Linked DNA regions of Schizosaccharomyces pombe. The gene in region 3 interacts genetically with the main gene of each other region. Each region holds a gene or a part of one and is shown on either strand. Other genes may lie near its edges. The genes, in order: mgr2, irc3, tif452 and sfp1.

What was found.
Region 1: mutations in tif452 (region 3) and mgr2 together harm fitness less than expected from each alone (positive genetic interaction), as found in Schizosaccharomyces pombe (one large-scale study listed by BioGRID).
Region 2: mutations in tif452 (region 3) and irc3 together harm fitness more than expected from each alone (negative genetic interaction), as found in Schizosaccharomyces pombe (one large-scale study listed by BioGRID).
Region 4: mutations in tif452 (region 3) and sfp1 together harm fitness more than expected from each alone (negative genetic interaction), as found in Schizosaccharomyces pombe (one large-scale study listed by BioGRID).

Annotation. Positions count from the first base shown.
Region 1 is NC_003423.3:1,569,640-1,572,690, reverse strand, and holds mgr2 (protein Mgr2), read left to right. Parts: upstream 1-1,771; 5' UTR 1,772-1,838; coding exon 1,839-1,872; exon of another isoform or gene 1,873-1,915; coding exon 1,916-2,244; 3' UTR 2,245-2,487; downstream 2,488-3,051. Other genes in the region: sua1 (sulfate adenylyltransferase), read left to right, coding at 1-1,206; SPOM_SPBC27.05 (uncharacterized protein), read right to left, coding at 2,619-2,945. UniProt on the Schizosaccharomyces pombe protein: Required for cell viability in cells lacking mitochondrial DNA.
Region 2 is NC_003423.3:3,366,622-3,371,241, reverse strand, and holds irc3 (ATP-dependent DNA helicase Irc3), read left to right. Parts: upstream 1-2,015; 5' UTR 2,016-2,021; coding exon 2,022-2,201; exon of another isoform or gene 2,202-2,245; coding exon 2,246-2,377; exon of another isoform or gene 2,378-2,434; coding exon 2,435-2,727; exon of another isoform or gene 2,728-2,766; coding exon 2,767-2,796; exon of another isoform or gene 2,797-2,844; coding exon 2,845-2,996; exon of another isoform or gene 2,997-3,037; coding exon 3,038-4,071; downstream 4,072-4,620. Other genes in the region: RNA polymerase I transcription factor subunit Rrn6, read left to right, coding at 1-1,664; pus4 (tRNA pseudouridine synthase), read right to left, coding at 4,226-4,620.
Region 3 is NC_003423.3:1,132,410-1,136,183, reverse strand, and holds tif452 (translation initiation factor eIF4E, 4F complex E subunit isoform 2, stress response factor), read right to left. Parts: upstream 1,791-3,774; 5' UTR 1,686-1,790; coding exon 1,209-1,685; exon of another isoform or gene 1,119-1,208; coding exon 979-1,118; exon of another isoform or gene 922-978; coding exon 807-921; 3' UTR 565-806; downstream 1-564. Other genes in the region: met7 (putative folylpolyglutamate synthase), read right to left, coding at 2,142-3,443, 3,753-3,774. UniProt on the Schizosaccharomyces pombe protein: Recognizes and binds the 7-methylguanosine-containing mRNA cap during an early step in the initiation of protein synthesis and facilitates ribosome binding by inducing the unwinding of the mRNAs secondary structures.
Region 4 is NC_003424.3:4,431,348-4,436,465, forward strand, and holds sfp1 (transcription factor Sfp1), read right to left. Parts: upstream 3,167-5,118; 5' UTR 2,286-3,166; coding exon 957-2,285; 3' UTR 522-956; downstream 1-521. Other genes in the region: tRNA dihydrouridine synthase Dus3, read left to right, coding at 1-238; SPOM_SPAC9E9.01 (uncharacterized protein), read left to right, coding at 3,514-3,550, 3,592-3,854; SPOM_SPAC9E9.02 (uncharacterized protein), read right to left, coding at 4,270-4,566.

The DNA.
Region 1 (3,051 bases), 440 kb from region 3:
TCTTTGAAGGCCGGTGATCGTGTTGCATTATTAGATCCTAGGGATGGGCAAACTGTTATTGCCATTTTGACTGTTGAGGACAAGTATACCCCAGATAAGGCGAACGAAGCTGAAAAGGTATTTGGTGCTAATGATCGCGCCCACCCTGCCGTCGACTACTTGTTTGGTCGTGCTGGAAATGTGTATGTTGGTGGTAAACTTCAAGCCGTTACTCCTATTCGCCATTTCGATTTCGTAGAGTACCGCTACTCACCTGCTCAACTTCGCTCTGACTTCCAGCGTAACAACTGGAATCGCGTCGTTGCTTTCCAAACCCGTAATCCCATGCATCGCGCCCATCGTGAGCTTACCGTCCGTGCTGCTAAGCAACACGGTGCCCGTGTGCTCATTCACCCTGTCGTCGGTATGACCAAGCCTGGTGATATCGATCACTTCACCCGTGTGCGTGTTTACGAGGCTATTCTCCAACGCTATCCTAAGGGTTCCGCCAAGCTCTCTCTTCTTCCCTTAGCCATGCGTATGGCTGGTCCTCGTGAAGCTTTATGGCACGCCATCATTCGTAAGAACTACGGTGCTTCTCATTTCATCATTGGTCGTGATCATGCTGGTCCTGGTAAGAACAGTCAAGGCGAGGATTTTTATGGTCCTTACGATGCTCAGTACCTTGTTGAACAATACGCTCAGGAAATCGGTATCACCATTGTTCCTTTCCAAATGATGACTTACCTTCCTGATGAGGACATCTACAAGCCAGTTGACAAAGTCGAACCCGGTACCCGTACTTTGAACATCAGTGGTACTGAACTTCGTCGCCGTCTTCGCGTCGGTGCCAACATCCCTGAGTGGTTCTCTTATCCAGAGGTTGTCGCTATTTTACGTCAATCCTATCCTCCCAAATACTCTCAAGGATTTGTTTTGGCTGTTCCTGCCACCTCCGATAAACTTCTCCCCAGCGCTCTAGTTTCAGCCTTGAACGAGGATGGTCGCCGCCATGTCACTCTTTTACCTCGCTTAGATGCTATTTCAGTGTTTTACGCCCAAGAATTGCAACGTGCTGGTGCTGCCGTTGTTGTTTCTCTGGCTGATGCTGATGCATCTGTTAAAGTACCTGCTGAGTGGACTACCGTAAACATCAAGCCCAAAGACTCTGTTTCTGAGGTTACTTTTGCTGTCCTTTCACAATTGTCTGACGAAGGCTATCTTTAAAATAATGTTTTTTGACATATATATATATATATATATATACATATATCCATTTTTGTTCTTTTATGTTCTACTTGTCTATTAAATAATAAAATAATTGCTGCAGGAATGACAACACTCCCTCATTAGAACTTTGCCATTTGTAGATGTAACTAAGAATGCAACTCAATTAAATTTCGCTAAGGACATGTTAGTAATTAATTAGCGATAGGCTTCTTAATAACAAAAGGTAGGAAATTCAATCCGAAGCCGAGGGGAATTAATTTATTATATATGTCAGATATACATAGCAGACTTTAGCAATTGCAATACATGCCAATGCAATGTTTTATTTTAATTCAGAAGTCATTATAACGTTAAGCCTATGCTCTCACTTAACGCATGCCTGGATGTAATACATTGTTACATTTACTTAAAAAAACTGGGCTTATAAAAAATATATATATAGGTTTTCTTTAAATTAACATTTCCTAAACTAAACTATTGATTTAACAAAAGAAATTGTTACATCTATTGTTATACCTAGGTATCCAATATAATAACTGTATACTACCTTACTTTTCCTACCAACAAAATCCCCCTTGAAACTAGTGCTCTCTATTTCTAAATAAAAGTAAGACCTTTAACTACTCAAAATGCAATCTATGCAACCTTCAACTGTGGATAAGCGTAAGTTCTATATTGTATGAATTCAGTCATTAACACTGAACAGTAAAAATGGGCGCCATTATGGGTTCAGCTGCTGGACTTGGCATCGGGTTTTTATTTGGAGGAGTAGCAGTTTTGCGCTATGGGCCTGGTCCACGTGGATTCTTAAGGACCTTAGGTCAATACATGTTAACATCTGCGGCCACTTTTGGCTTTTTCATGTCCATCGGCTCTGTAATTCGCAACGAAGATATACCACTAATACAGCAGTCAGGCTCACATTGGAATCAAAGATTATTAAATGAAAATGCAAATTCCAGTCGTATTTTTGCCTTGGCTATGCAACAGGCCAAAAGTTCTCCACGTAAATCAAATGAAGTTGCTGAGTGCTAATTTCGTTTAATCCGATTATAATAAAAGTATCATACTATCATTTTGTTAGTATATGAGGTACAATATTTGTTTCTCCTGAATTCTGAGTTAAAGATGTACTGATGATTGTACTATCATGCATTTAAACTAAAAAGCTTTGGCCGCTACATCAAAGGACTTTTGCATTTTTCTGATAGTTCATGTTTAAAAAAGTCTTTATACCATATTGTTAATATTTTGATGGCGATTTAATTTTCCTTAAAATTTTTACGATTTAAAGATTTGGGTAATTTGCTAGGTGGTAAATTGGTAAATTAGTTTGTTTCGATGAATAATATTTGTAGCAATAGTTACAAAAAATGATCGAAGACAAGCTATTACAAATAAGCTAATTATTATTTGATCATAAAGATATTTAGAAACAATACTTGTGCCTTAAAACTTGCAATATCAATAATGCTTGTCATAAGGAAGATTCGGTTACATATGGGTTGAAGATACATATGCTCATTAGTATTATTAAATGTATTATATATGCTTGATGTTATCACTTCTTTAGATGCTAATTGTAATGTAAATGCGTCTGTTGTCTCTTTTTGTACACGCATTATTAGTTGGTATCTTATATAAAACTTCGATTCAATCTCCAACTGGTAAAGCAAAATGCAATTAATGCCAGAATAAAATAAATATGCAAGTCCATAAACCGTTGTATGCACCATTCATAAGCAGAATTTACTGCGTTCATAAAGTTGCGAAAGCATAGTCTTCAAAATCTTTCGTTTGCTTCTTAGCCAAAATTCAAAAAAAAACTTGAAAGCACCTGCA
Region 2 (4,620 bases), 2.2 Mb from region 3:
GTTCTTTCAAAGAGTCTTTGCAACAAGCATTATGTTCTGCACCAACAAGTTCCATTGCTTATCACGAAGAAGAAATAAATCCCGATAATACAATATATAGAGCTAAATGGGAAGAGTATTTTGGCGGTGTCATTTTGCATAATGCTTTTTTTATTCTTCATGTGTCTCTTGGGGAGGTACCTGATTTCCATCTTTTATTCCACTGCAGTTCAGATGTTAGGATTCTACAAGTGGTAAATGAATCTATGCCTATTAAATCTGAGTTTTTCATTTTAACTACCGAGTCCGTCTTGTGGATGGATATTCAACATCCTCAGAAGCCGCTACTTGAATGGAAACATAATAGAAAATTAGATCCTACTTTGAAAATTACGGTTACCGCTACTTTTTCTCAAAACATCTATGTCTCTGTTTATTCTCAAATGAATGGTGTTGTCCAACAAATTCATTTTTCAAAAGACAGAGCTCTACCTGTATCAGGTAGTCATCCATTTCTATTATTAAATGAGGTTCAGGTTCCCATAAGATCCCTCATTATACAACCTTGTTATTTTTTTGAGTCATCTGAATTTGACAGACAAGGTCCTTTTGATTCACCTTTTTGGTCTGCAATAATTGATAAGGCTGACGGATCTCTTTCCTTACATATTCTTTGCGAAAAAAGTTCTCTTAAAATATATAATTTAGAGGAGCTTACTGGTTCTAGCCAAGTTGCTATGAAATTTAAAACTATCACCCCTTCTGTAAACACTAGTGAAGATGATTCGGCAAATGATCAAGAAATAATAAGCACTCCGAATTCCGATTTTCAACAATTATCACTGTCACGGTTATACCATGTTTTGTGCTCTAATAGGAACAAAAAGAATACTATCACCCTTGATGAATTCGCTAGCAAAGTTCCGGATTTTGTAGAAGCTTTTGATTCTATCAATCACGATGTTATAATAACTTTGAGTGAGTTATATGACGGATTTCCTTTGAAAGGAACCTTTACTAATGTAGCTGAGATCATAAGTCATTTAGAAGGTACAGAACTATCATTTTATTTTCCTTATATGTTTGGTATTAACTACAACAATGCTTCTTTCTTTTATACTTCCGTGGACTCAATTGCTAGTTTAATACACAGGCGCTGGGAATCTAATACTGATAAGTCTGTCGAAATTCCTTGCTTTCAGTCTTCTCAAAGAAGATCTATAAAAAATGTTATTCACTATTTATTTCTTTCTTCTATAGGAGTCTCCAGGGAAAAAATATTTGATCCATCATTGTCTCGAAAGGAAATCGATTCAACCGACTTGCTTACATTTATCAAACCTTTTTATGATACGGAAGGCCTGGAGCTGAATGAAGATGTTAGAAATATTTTGGAGAATTGGGAGATTGGAAAGATATCTTCAACTTATGTCATTGGTGATAGCGCTGTCGAAACGGAGGATCCATCATCTAGCCAATTTAGTGATTTCTACATTTCACAACAGCAGTCTTCTGTACTTCCCTCAAGCCAAATTGCGACAGTCTTTTCTCAAGAAGATGTTCCTAATTTTTCATCGCTATACTCGGAGAGTTCTAGCCAAACTATCCCAATAATGTCACAAGTCGTTAGTGGCAAATATGGTTCTCGTCCTTCCAAAAAGAAAAAGAAAAGAAGCGGATTTTAAATCCACCCGTATTTATTTATCTGTAAGTGATTTGTTTACAACTTGGGGAATAATTTGCTTGAGTTATTGATACTATACCAATGCTTGGACATAAGGTTGGTAGTAAATTATTTGCATATATTATGAAATTGCTAAAATTTAAAATTTTTTTTTCTATAATGTTTATAGAACTTTCAAATTTTATATCTTAGTTAGCCTTTGTAAGTCAATAAAAGTAAGTAATAATTAATTGTCTGCATGTCATGCTAATTTATGCTCTGACAAATTATTTTAACTAAGCCATTTTATGCCCTTATCCATTGCTGTATTCTATAGTTATAAAATTATTTTTGTGTCAGAGATTATCTTGCCGTAGACATGCTACTAAACGCATGTTGCAAAAAGAATTTGTGGCCAAGAAATGGTTCAACTATATTTAGAAGATTTGCTCTTAAACTTCGTCCTTATCAAGAAGAATGCCTCAGTGCCTGCTTAAACGCTTTTGATGAAGGTAAACGTCGAATTGCTGTTTCATTAGCTACAGGCTCTGGTAAAACGGTATTACTGTTCTACTACTGACTGCAATATTAACACGTCTAAAGGCATTGTTTCCCCACTTTATAAAATATGCACCTACTTTAAGGCCAAACTCTGAGCAATGTCTAATTTTGGTTCACAGAAAGGAGTTAGCTTTACAGGCCCTCAAGCATTGCCGAGAAAGCCTTCCGAATAAGGTACCGTTCTTTTTCCAAATAGATTCCACGCTGTTTCGTTTACTAACTTTGCCATAGTCTATTGAGATTGATATGGGCAATCAGTGTGCATCCGGACTGGCTGATGTTACCGTTGCGTCAGTTTTTTCTTTAAAAAATGAAAGACTACTTAAATATAATCCTCTCAATTTTAAACTTTTAATTTTTGATGAAGTTCACCATATGGCGTCTCCTTCGTACTTACGAATCCTTGAGCATTTTGGCGCAGAATCGGAAAAATCGAAAGTGAATGTGATAGGACTTACTGCGACTCTTTTCAGAGCAGACGGAAAAGGGTTGGCTTGTGGCCTAGATGAGATTGTTTATCACAGGTAATGCTAACAGTAGAACGTTCAAATGCTAATAAATAGACATTTCGTGGACATGATCAAAGATAACTGGTAAGTGTGTCATATTTATAGGTACTCTTCCTAACTCCCAATGTTAAGGCTTGTTGAACCAAAAGTCATAAACATAAAGTGGTCTACAGATCTTGTGTTAGCTGATTCGTCTAGCTTCTTGGACCAAGAGAAGTTAAAAAAGGAGGCACAATCAGAAAAGGCAATATTCGAAATTCCAAGAGCTTGGCTCGAACATGCTAGTAAGCTGAATATAGTTATCTCTATATTAATTTCCTTTTAGGTAACCGCTCATCTACATTGGTGTTTTGCATAAATGTAGAGCATTCATTAAAAGTTTGTAATGCATTTCGAAAATTAGGTATTGATGCCCGAGCTTTGTTTGGGGAAACTAATGATTCGGAACGTGAAACTTTAATCCAAGATTTCCGAAAAAAGAAATTTCCTGTCCTTGTTAATTGCATGGTGTTGACTGAAGGGACCGATATTCCTAATATTGATTGTTTAATGATCGCTCGGCCTACAAGTTCTCCAAATTTACTTACACAGATGATTGGTAGGGGATTGCGATTGCATGAGGGAAAAAGAGATTGTCTAATATTAGATTTTTGTGATTCTTTAAGAAGAGTCAGTCTACATGTTGACCCTACTTTAGCTGGTCTTTCCCCCGATGAAGTTGAAAACTTTTATAATAAATCAAAGAATTCCCTTGCGAACCCTGATTATGATCCTAAAATTTATGGATTACAATCTGTTTTGTGGTACAGCAAATTACGGAAGTTGATAGAAATGATGGATAACATTAAAAACAAAGATAGGAGCATTTTCAATTTATCTACTAATGCTTGGGTTGCTGTCGGTATGGGTCGATATGTCTTGAGCTTTTTACAAAAGGTGTTGATAATTGATACAAATTTTGAAGATGGGACACATAAGATATCTGAATATACGAAAGAGAAATTAGGGACTCGAGTGTATAATCGAAAACGTATTGTATCCGATCGCATACCTTCCTTGAAATTCGCGATAAGGGCAGCGGAAACATACATTTCCAATTTGAAAACACCTCGTTCTCTTATTAGTCGTAAAGCAGTGTGGAGAATGAGACCCGCGTCTGTTAGACAAATAAACTTCTTGAAAAAATCAAATTTAAAACTAGATGAAAAACTCTTGACAGCAGGTGTTGCAGCTGATATGATTACTAAAGTAATTTATGGAGGAAAAGGTCGACAAGTTAGAACAGATAAGCTACAAAGTTATCTGAAACACGACGCAAATTTAAAGCGTATTACTACATTGAAGGAATTAAAGGGTTGATGGTTTCAGTGTTCTTCATAAAAATCGTTTTCTTCACTGTACCAGTGATAATATTTGCTTGGAGTGGAAAAGAAATGTCTATTATATGCTTTTAAAGAAAATATGAATGTCCTTATCTAAAAAGTATATTACTGGTATATATATTAAGACTGCTTCAGCTTGTTTCGTCTCCTTTCAGGTCGATTTTGAACGCTGCTGCGAGTTTTTCCTCCCAGCCTGGAGCTGAAAATTCTGAAAAATCAAAGCAGTTTTCATCGTCTAGTGCAAAAGACCCCTGTTTCAATCTCACAAGATCGACCATGTGTGCTTCACTATTTACTTGTCGGCCCAAATCATGAATTAAAGAGCGAACGTAGAAACCAGAAGAAACCGTCATATCAAGGACTGCAATTGGCCCTATTGCAGGTCGTGATCCTCGCGCTAAATCAGTGACTTCAAACTTTCGTTTTTTAGGGTTTGTGACAGTTTGATCTTTGGCTACATCTGTAACAGAATTGGTAGTGGGACTCTTCGCGTTTATTTTTTCATCACCATCTTGGGGATTGATGT
Region 3 (3,774 bases):
CATTTCATCTTTGCTAATTGCTGATTAACCAAATGATGAAGTTAGTGCTGAGCTTTATTTGTTTAAAAAACTTTGAGTATAAGCGAAGCGATAGATTTGGAATTGAAGTGGTGCACTGATACTCGACAATATTCCGTACAGTACATTGAAAAGTCTGATTGTAGATACTTCTTCACCAGATATCTAATTCTAAGCATACAGAAGTTGCAAGTAAATTTCCCCACTTTTCCCAGTACTCATTAAGCGCTGCATTAATTCGATTAAAAGGGCTATCTTCTTAATTAATGTTATCCGATTTCGACAATGATAAGAAGAAATGAAGGTCGCCTATTATTTCGAAATTTTAGTTTGATTCAAACATTCATGGATCCTTAGCGATAAAGGTTAGTTCCAACATTACATTAGATCCTCGGAAATAGTAAAATCATAGTAGACATTATTCAGCTTGAAATAAGCTAGCGATAAATGTTTAATATACAGGCGGTTATGAATAATAGGAAGATTTGGCGATCTAGCATATTTACATTCTTGATAGAATTTTAATATTTATAACGTAAGAGAAGGGTCAAATATAGATTATATCCATTAGCCTATTAAAATGCTCAACAAATATAACAAATTAAACTATTCATACGAATACACTAACTGTAAAGAGGCATCTATCTCATCTCAATAAGCTTGGTATTTTAGAGGTCTCAAAAACAAGAGGGCAATGATTGCAATAACATATTGTCATTCGTAAATGAACACCCCTATAATTTACCAAGCCTTAGAAAGTAAAAATAAAAACTTGAAACTTGATATCATTAAAGACTCATACGGGTTTTTGCTCGCATACTACCAGCCTTTGATGAATCCTCATGAGCACTATATTCTATAGTCTCTTTATCAGAAATCCCTAAAACTTCTTTAAAGCGCAGGCTACATGTTTGTTAGTCCAGTCAACTACCAACACGTTACTCTTAAAACTTCACATACCCGATTTTTTCCAAAACATCTTTGTCATTACAATTTCGTGTCCATACAGCGATTCTATAGAATCCTTTCCTCATATTGCAAACTACACCAGTAACTTCTTTCCCAGTAGGGTCTAATGTTTCTCCAATGGCTGCCAGCACCTATTTCCATACGTTAATACTTTCAACTTAAAAATTAACATTCTGTAAAGTCGATATCACAGCAGTTAAAATGAACAGACCATGACTTACCATATACAGCCACAACTCGTCGAGATTTGAACCTTTGTGCTTGCTTTGGTAGGCCCATTTCCCACCATTCATGTTTTGAGGATCCTCCCATTCAGGACGAATACCTTTCAAAAAGTAAGAGTAGTCCGATTTGGCGGGAAGCATCGAAGCTTTTGAGATCGTCTTAAAGATGCCCCAAAACTCTTCCACTGTCTTGAAGGAAATAATCTCTTTAAGAAGATCACTCCATTCAAGACCTTGTGTAGGTGGTTTCAAAAACCACAATGTCCATTCATGCTGAAGGGGGTGTGTTTTTACAAATGCAGTTTCAGCATTAACAGCCGATAGACCTTCAAGAAGGCGCGCTGGACGTCCCTCTCTTTCAGTTTTAACTTTTGGTGACCCAAATAAATCCAATAGATCTAGTTTTTCTGTGATTAAGGAAGTGTTGGGAAAACCCTCATTTTTTGAGTGACGCGAGTCTTCTGCATCTGCCATTTGCTTTTTTTAAAAAAACAAAAATATTAAAAGAGCTTAAAACGTTTTTATAATAGGCAGTTTGTAAACTAGGCTGGATGCTGAAAAGATGCGGTGGTCGTAATTGGGTTACGAGATCCAAGCAAAAGCAACTTTCAACACACTGTTCCTGTAAAATATAATTGTACATTCATACCTTAAATATTGGCTAAGTATATATAAAAAGTCAATAATCAGCCTTAAAGCTTTACAGTAAATTATTTGTTTGATTGGAAATGCACGAGTATAATCAAATTTCACACAGCTTTTTATCTGCATACTATTATAATTCGTGAAATCAAATTTGTTCCCCTTACGTGTCAAATTGTTAAAAATCATTTTGTAATTACAAAGATGCATAAAGCTATGTTGTATATCTAAGAATCATTTAAATCTCAAAAACAATGTTGCAAAATGTAGAACCTTTCTCCATTTCAATCAAAAAACAGCTTGATCTAGTACTACAAAAACACCACCAGTTAAATGCAGACTTCCGGTGACACAAACAAAAGTATTCCTGGATTTTTGCTTAATTGACATCACTGTCTCAATAGCTTCTTGGATGGTAGGGGCTACTGTTGCTTCACTAGTCGTGCCCTTCGATTCTTTCCACCATTTACATAAATCCTCTTGTACATGCAAAACGGGCTTATTATCAGTAATGGTATTAATGCTTAACAGCTCTGGATTATAGCCTGCATCCTTCCAGGTGACATTGGTTGAGAATATAACATGCGTAAACGAAATCCCAGTTCCCGAGCTTTCCAATCCTTTTAAGAAGGACCTAAGTAAAGCAATTGGATCATCCCTGCTTTGCTGGTTAAACAGAAGAATACGGGCATCTGCATCCTCATAAAGATTCTTCTTGGATGCGAGCCAAAGTCCAGTGGCCTCCAAACTTTCCTTGGTGTGGGCTCCATCAAAACACCATTTTATGTTGTTGATTTCCTCAATTTGGCATCTTCCAGGCCATTTTACATACTTGAGGCCGTCCAAAATTGCTGGATCCTGATATGGATCTCTATCAAAAGGGCACCCGGCCTTTTCATAGAATTCTTGGACTAAAGAAACTGCAAGGGATGTATTTCCAAGCTGATGAACTCCTGAAAGACCAATCATATCCGGCGTTAATTCAGCAGGAGGTATGACTACCTTAAGTGATGTATTTCGTTCAGCAGCACGGTTTTTTAAAACATTCATAGCCTCGGGAGCTTGCTCGCAAGTTAAGGCAATAGCTGATTCTTTGTAGATTCCAGCTTTCTGCCAAGCAATTTCTGCTATTGTGTTCCCCAACAAAGACGTGTGGTCAAGACCTAAGCTTGTAACTGCTGTGGCATATGGTTTTTCAATTAAGTTTGTAGAATCGTATTCACCACCAATCCCAACTTCAATGATAGCGGCATCGACATTCTCTGAAATGAAAACGTGCCATGCCATTAGTGTCAAGAATCGGAAATACATTGGCTTTTCCGAATCACTACCGACAGCATTCTCTAGGCGCTCCCATACATCAAAAAAATATTTAGTAAACAACTCTTGACTGATAGGTTTGCCATTTAATTGAATACGTTCACAGACAGATCGGAGGTGAGGAGAAGTGTACATACCAATGCATTTTGGAATCGACCTTTCTCCACTCTTCTGTATTTGCTGTAATATTGAGGATGTAAATGCACATGTAGAACCCTTTCCTTTAGTTCCAGCAACATGGATGACATTTAGTCGGTTCAAATCTGATGGCTGAGATTTATTAGTTAGTAAAAGTTGCATGACAGTATAGAACTATTAACAAAAAGATTTCGTAAAGAGATACAGGCTAAACCAGCCAAGTCAACAATTCCTATTGATATTTCCCTTTATAGACATGATGTGCTGTCCTTTCAATGAGATTATTATTATTAAAAATAAGGTGAAGTTAAAGAAAGGATCACAATCGAGTACTATAAAGGACATACAAATACTTGTTTCAATCTCGTTTAATCATATGCAGCGGCTTAAAATATTTGAGTGCTATTCTTTTGTAATTCCTAATTATAAGTAGTAACTTACCTGATATCCAATGCATCTAAGC
Region 4 (5,118 bases), on a different chromosome or scaffold from region 3:
GGAGTTTATGAGCTTTTTCCATCGTTATACACCTATAGCTTTGTACGAAGTTCAAAGGCCCAGATTAAATGATAGACCGCCTCTATATACCGCGAGAGATGAGATGGAAACTCTCTTGGCCAGTAATAAAGTTACGGACTGGGTTAAATTGAGTGAGTTCTTCCTAGGTCCTACTCCTGAGCGATTCACCTTTACACCAAAGCACAAAAGCAATAGTGTGGAAGAGGCAGAGGGATAAACAACTTATGGTCTTAGTGTATCGAGCATTCACTTTCTTCATATGCATCATCAACTTTTCATACTTAATACTGGCTTATCATCTGGATTGAATTAAGTAGATTAATAAAATATCTGGTGACTTATATACGAGTGATCTGTGTTTGTCTCGTAAAATGCGCAAATGACTAGGCAAATTGGTAATGAATCTAACGTTATATAGTCAACTTACCCAATGGGAACTAACCAACGATCTTACAGTACTCTACAATTACTATCGAAACTACGTTGTGAAATAACTTAGCAAATATATGGTAAATAACACTGCCATACATATTTATTAACTTAAAAGGTATAATAATAACAGCAAGAGGATATTTGGTACAAAAATAACTTAATACACAATAAAAACCATTAAAAATCCAGAATCCCAAAATGACAAAACAAAAAATTAAAAAACAAAAAAAAAGCAAACAAAACAAACACAGCCATCATGTAGGTAATAAAGTAAGTGCAAAATTAACGGGAATGAATCAAAGGAGACAGGTTCACTTTACAGCTAATTCGATTGTTGTATGCAGATAAATGCAAGCCCGTAAACATCAAGCAAACTCCACACAACATGTCTACCCTTCTCAAACTTAAAAGCAAAGATAGACATAAAAGTATTCAAACTTGAAGATACGAAACTGAGATACAAATCTCATGTTCAAATATTACAAAGGCAAAAAAGAGCATATTTATGCGGTGCGCATAAAGTTCATTTGAACTTCCCGTTGAGCTTGGGCCATAGACACTTGTAGATGACTATGTGTACGATGATATTTCAAACCGTTTAAGTTTTTATATCTTTTACTACAAACTTCACAGCGATAAGGCTTGTTTTCCACAACAAACCCTTGATGAGGAATTGGAGCTGGTGTTGGAGTAGTAATGGGGGAACAGTGTCCATGAAGTTTGTGATACTTCAAACCATTTTGATTCTTATAAGCCTTATCACAATTAGGGACAGGGCATTTGTATGGCTTGTCTACAACCACCAAGTTAGAGCCTGGGTAATCAATAGTGAGCGGTGAATCGTGTGAGAATGCAGGAGTAGAACGCTGCTTTTTAGATGGCTTAGCTTCCAAATCACTAGAAGATTTCCTAACAAATGGGGATGAGATTGCTGAGTTTGTGGCTGCGGGTGAAACTACTTCAGGAGTAGGAGACATGCTAGACTCTGTGAATTGATCGGCGGATGCGACAGATGGAGCAAATGAAAAAACATCGTGATCGTAATTGAATGGGGGAAGATATGTAGAGTCAACCATGTCCTTTTGATTGAACGCAAAAACATTATTGGCAGCGGACTCACCAACGTCAATAGACATGCTCATGTCACTGAGAGGGGAGCTTGCATCCATTACCAATGATTCAGGCATCTTTTTCGGGGTACCAGTTGTCTCTGCTTGACTACTGGCCTCGTCACTGCTCATGTCGGAGCTGGCAGCGGCAGCAGCAGCAGCAGCAGCGGCAGGTACGACAACGGAAACGCGGTAAGGGCCAGGAGCACCACCGTTAGCAGGAAAGGCAAATGGTAAAACAGCAGAATTATCAGAAATTTCAGAAGTTCCAAGCTGATCAGCAAGATCATGCATACGGATGCGCTCACGCTGTTTGAGCGCTTGAATATGAGAATGATTAGATTGAGCAGCGTTGTTGCTATCCAAAGAATATTCTTGAGGAACAGCAGAATCAGTTGCCAGAACGGCGTGCTGCTCTTCATAATGGTGAATAAGTTGATGCAAATCTTCGAGAGTTTGACCACAGCAGCGGAAATCACGGCAAAATGCTTCTTCTAACCGGTTTAGATAAGAGGTAGAATCCTCTTCGGGAATCGTTTGTGACTCAACCACGTTAGAAAGAGATGGAATAGTATCACGAAGCCAAGCTTGTCCACTAAAGCTATTTCCCCAAGACTGTGGACTCATTCCAAAAGAGGTAGCATGAATGCTGTTAAAGGAATTTCCGTTGTAGTTGACATTGTGATGGGAAGGCTTATTGATAGGCAATGCGAGAGATGGCATATTGAAAAGTTTTTAAGGGAATTAATAAAATTAAAGAGATAAAAGAGAAAATTAAAAGATAAACCGATAAATAGAAACCAAATTAAAAATTATATACCAATGATGAAAAAATAGAATAAAAATAACAAAATAATTTAGTAAGTTATTTTTTGAGAAATCAGGGAATAATGCACTTAGAAAACTCGACTTAAGGAAGGCAAGTTCTTAGAGAGCGCTGAGAGGGGTAAAAAAAGGCAATTAAAAAAAGACTGAATGTAAAATCTAATGAAATTCGACGAACTATAAATTCGAAAAAAAAAGGAAAAAGTTTCTAAAAGAAGAATTTACCAAGCAAAAAAATGAAGGTAAACTATTTTTAAGCACTAAATTACCCAAGTGTAATTAGTGTATTGTAATGTTTTAAGTGGAAACCCCAAAGTGACTTATCTAATTTTTTCAGTCTAAACAAATTGGCGATTAACGGATGATAAATGTATAATATAAATAAGATGAAAAGAAAGGGAGTAAAAACCTTTTAAAGAATCCTTTTTAATCAACAAAGAAAGTCAAGTAATAACGAATCGAGTCGAGGAAACTGTTCGATTCGACTTTTTTTTAAAATAAAGCGAAATAGTAAATAATTTACGCTTTGATTCAATGAACAATCGAGATCAATCGAAAAGAGTGGTGATACTTCAAAAGAGTAATCTTTTTTTTGCAGGCAACTAGTGGACGCAATATATGTTGCAAGCGAATTTTTTTTATAAATATGTTTAATTTTTTTTAAGTTGAATATATGGTATTCAACAACAATTCTATGATTGTACTAACTCCCTTAAGTTAAGTAAGTATATTTGCTTCTGCTTCCTTCGTGTCGTCCTCACGTTGAAGTTAGTCAGAATAAGGCGTTAAGAAGGGTAGGACGGTGTTTAAGTAGTAATTGATAAGGTGATTTAGCAAGCCTTCTCGTTACGTATGTATAAAGGTAACAAGGATAAAAGGGTCAAGTAACAGTGACGCCGACTATGCGAGCGAATAACAGTGAAGCTTTCAGACTTAAACACCTAATGAGGGGCCCTTAAATATAAGAAAGCCAATCAGAGTACACAGAGTGGATCGAACTTGGATCAAAGTAATTAGGGGTAACAATGCAACTTCGTCAGTGCCGTATCGGAAGGTCGTTACTTCCAATAGATGGGGCCGAAGACAAGGGGCGAATAGTTTCTAGACAAAGGGTCGCAAATGAACGATGGCGGATGGCTTGGAGCTCAGTGCAGAATTAAGCGGTACGCAGCTTAGCGTTATAGTGTCCTAATATACGGTCAAGTGCACACGGGTACAGTAACACACACAATCTTTGTTTATGTGTTTCTCGGAAAATCGAAGCGGCTAAAAACGTTTAGCGATTCAAATGTTGGTTCGGTAATCAAACTTGAGGCAGGGTTCGCAGTCTGGTCACGTTGTGAAGCAGCTAATGGGGAATGGATGGAGGCAGACAATGAAGATCGTTGTCGGTTATACCAAATTTACCGGGAAAGCAAACTCAAGGAATTTGCGAGATACAATGTCCTTTCAAGGGTTAATTGGTAAAGTAAACGACTATGAAATGAAAGAAATATCGTCGTTTAATTGAAATGGAGGAAGGATATTTCTCTTCTTTGTGCTAGTAAAGAGAAGACGGATATTTTTGGAAGAGATGTAAAAAGACAAGCAAACAAGAAAATGAAAATGGACGTCTAGCGATTTTACAAGAAAAAATTAGACGGGAAAAGGGAAAAGAAAAACTAAAGCTTATAGGAAATGGAGCTAAAAAAATATCTAGATAGAATAGCTTGCGAATGAAGAAAAAAACAAACTATCGTACAAGATAAACCAAATATATAAACCTTACAACAACCCAAAAGAAAATGATTGAAAGTAAGGTGAAGATCAGTAACTAACAAAGGAACAGAATGGAATAACAAGTATATAACTAAGTAAATAAATAAATAAAGAATCGGTATTATCACAGATAAATGAAAAGATAATACACACAACGATGAAGAGAATATAAAAAAAAAATTGTTTCGTTAGAATCAAAGGAAGTTTTTAACAGAACGGAGTTTTTTATTTTTTTTCGTAACCAAAAAAGACTTTTAGAAAAATTGCAAGGATTTAGAGCAATACTGATGATTTCATACAAACGATTGGAGAATGGGATGTATTGTATTGAAACCAATGAACTGAATCGAATCGTTAAGAGGAAATTTTTTTTTAATAAACAATGCAGTTTGTGTTTGGCATTAGCGAAATCCACATCCATTATATAGAAATGGAAAGTCAACGTCAAATGTCCAATCTATCAATTCTTCGTTTTCTTCCAGAAACTCTTAAGCATCATTTTCATTATTTAACAATCCCATCATTTGTCCACATATCCACCACACTTAGGTCAGTAGTTGAAAAGATGAAATTCGCAGGCATCACACTCAATACCAAAGGCAATGAATTTACAACGTTTTAATTACATTTCTCAGCAATCTTCTAGGGTTCTGGCCATTGGATAGTTTATGATGCTTCTATATCAAACACACTCTACCATGATGTCAAGGGCGCTGGCGCTATGGCAAGCGAAGGGATATGAACAAGGACCAAGATAAAAGTGATTCTGACTTGGTTCATGAATGAAAAACTACAGACAATTTGATAGGATTAATAATTGAAGAAAACGATAAAGAAATTCATACATCCCAAGGAGTAATCTATCGTCTATGAGAAAAAAATGAAAAAATGACATTAGTAAACAAGTGTCAAGAGAGTATGGGTCAACAACATCAAAACGACATTGTCGCATACAATTCAAGTGAGACAGATT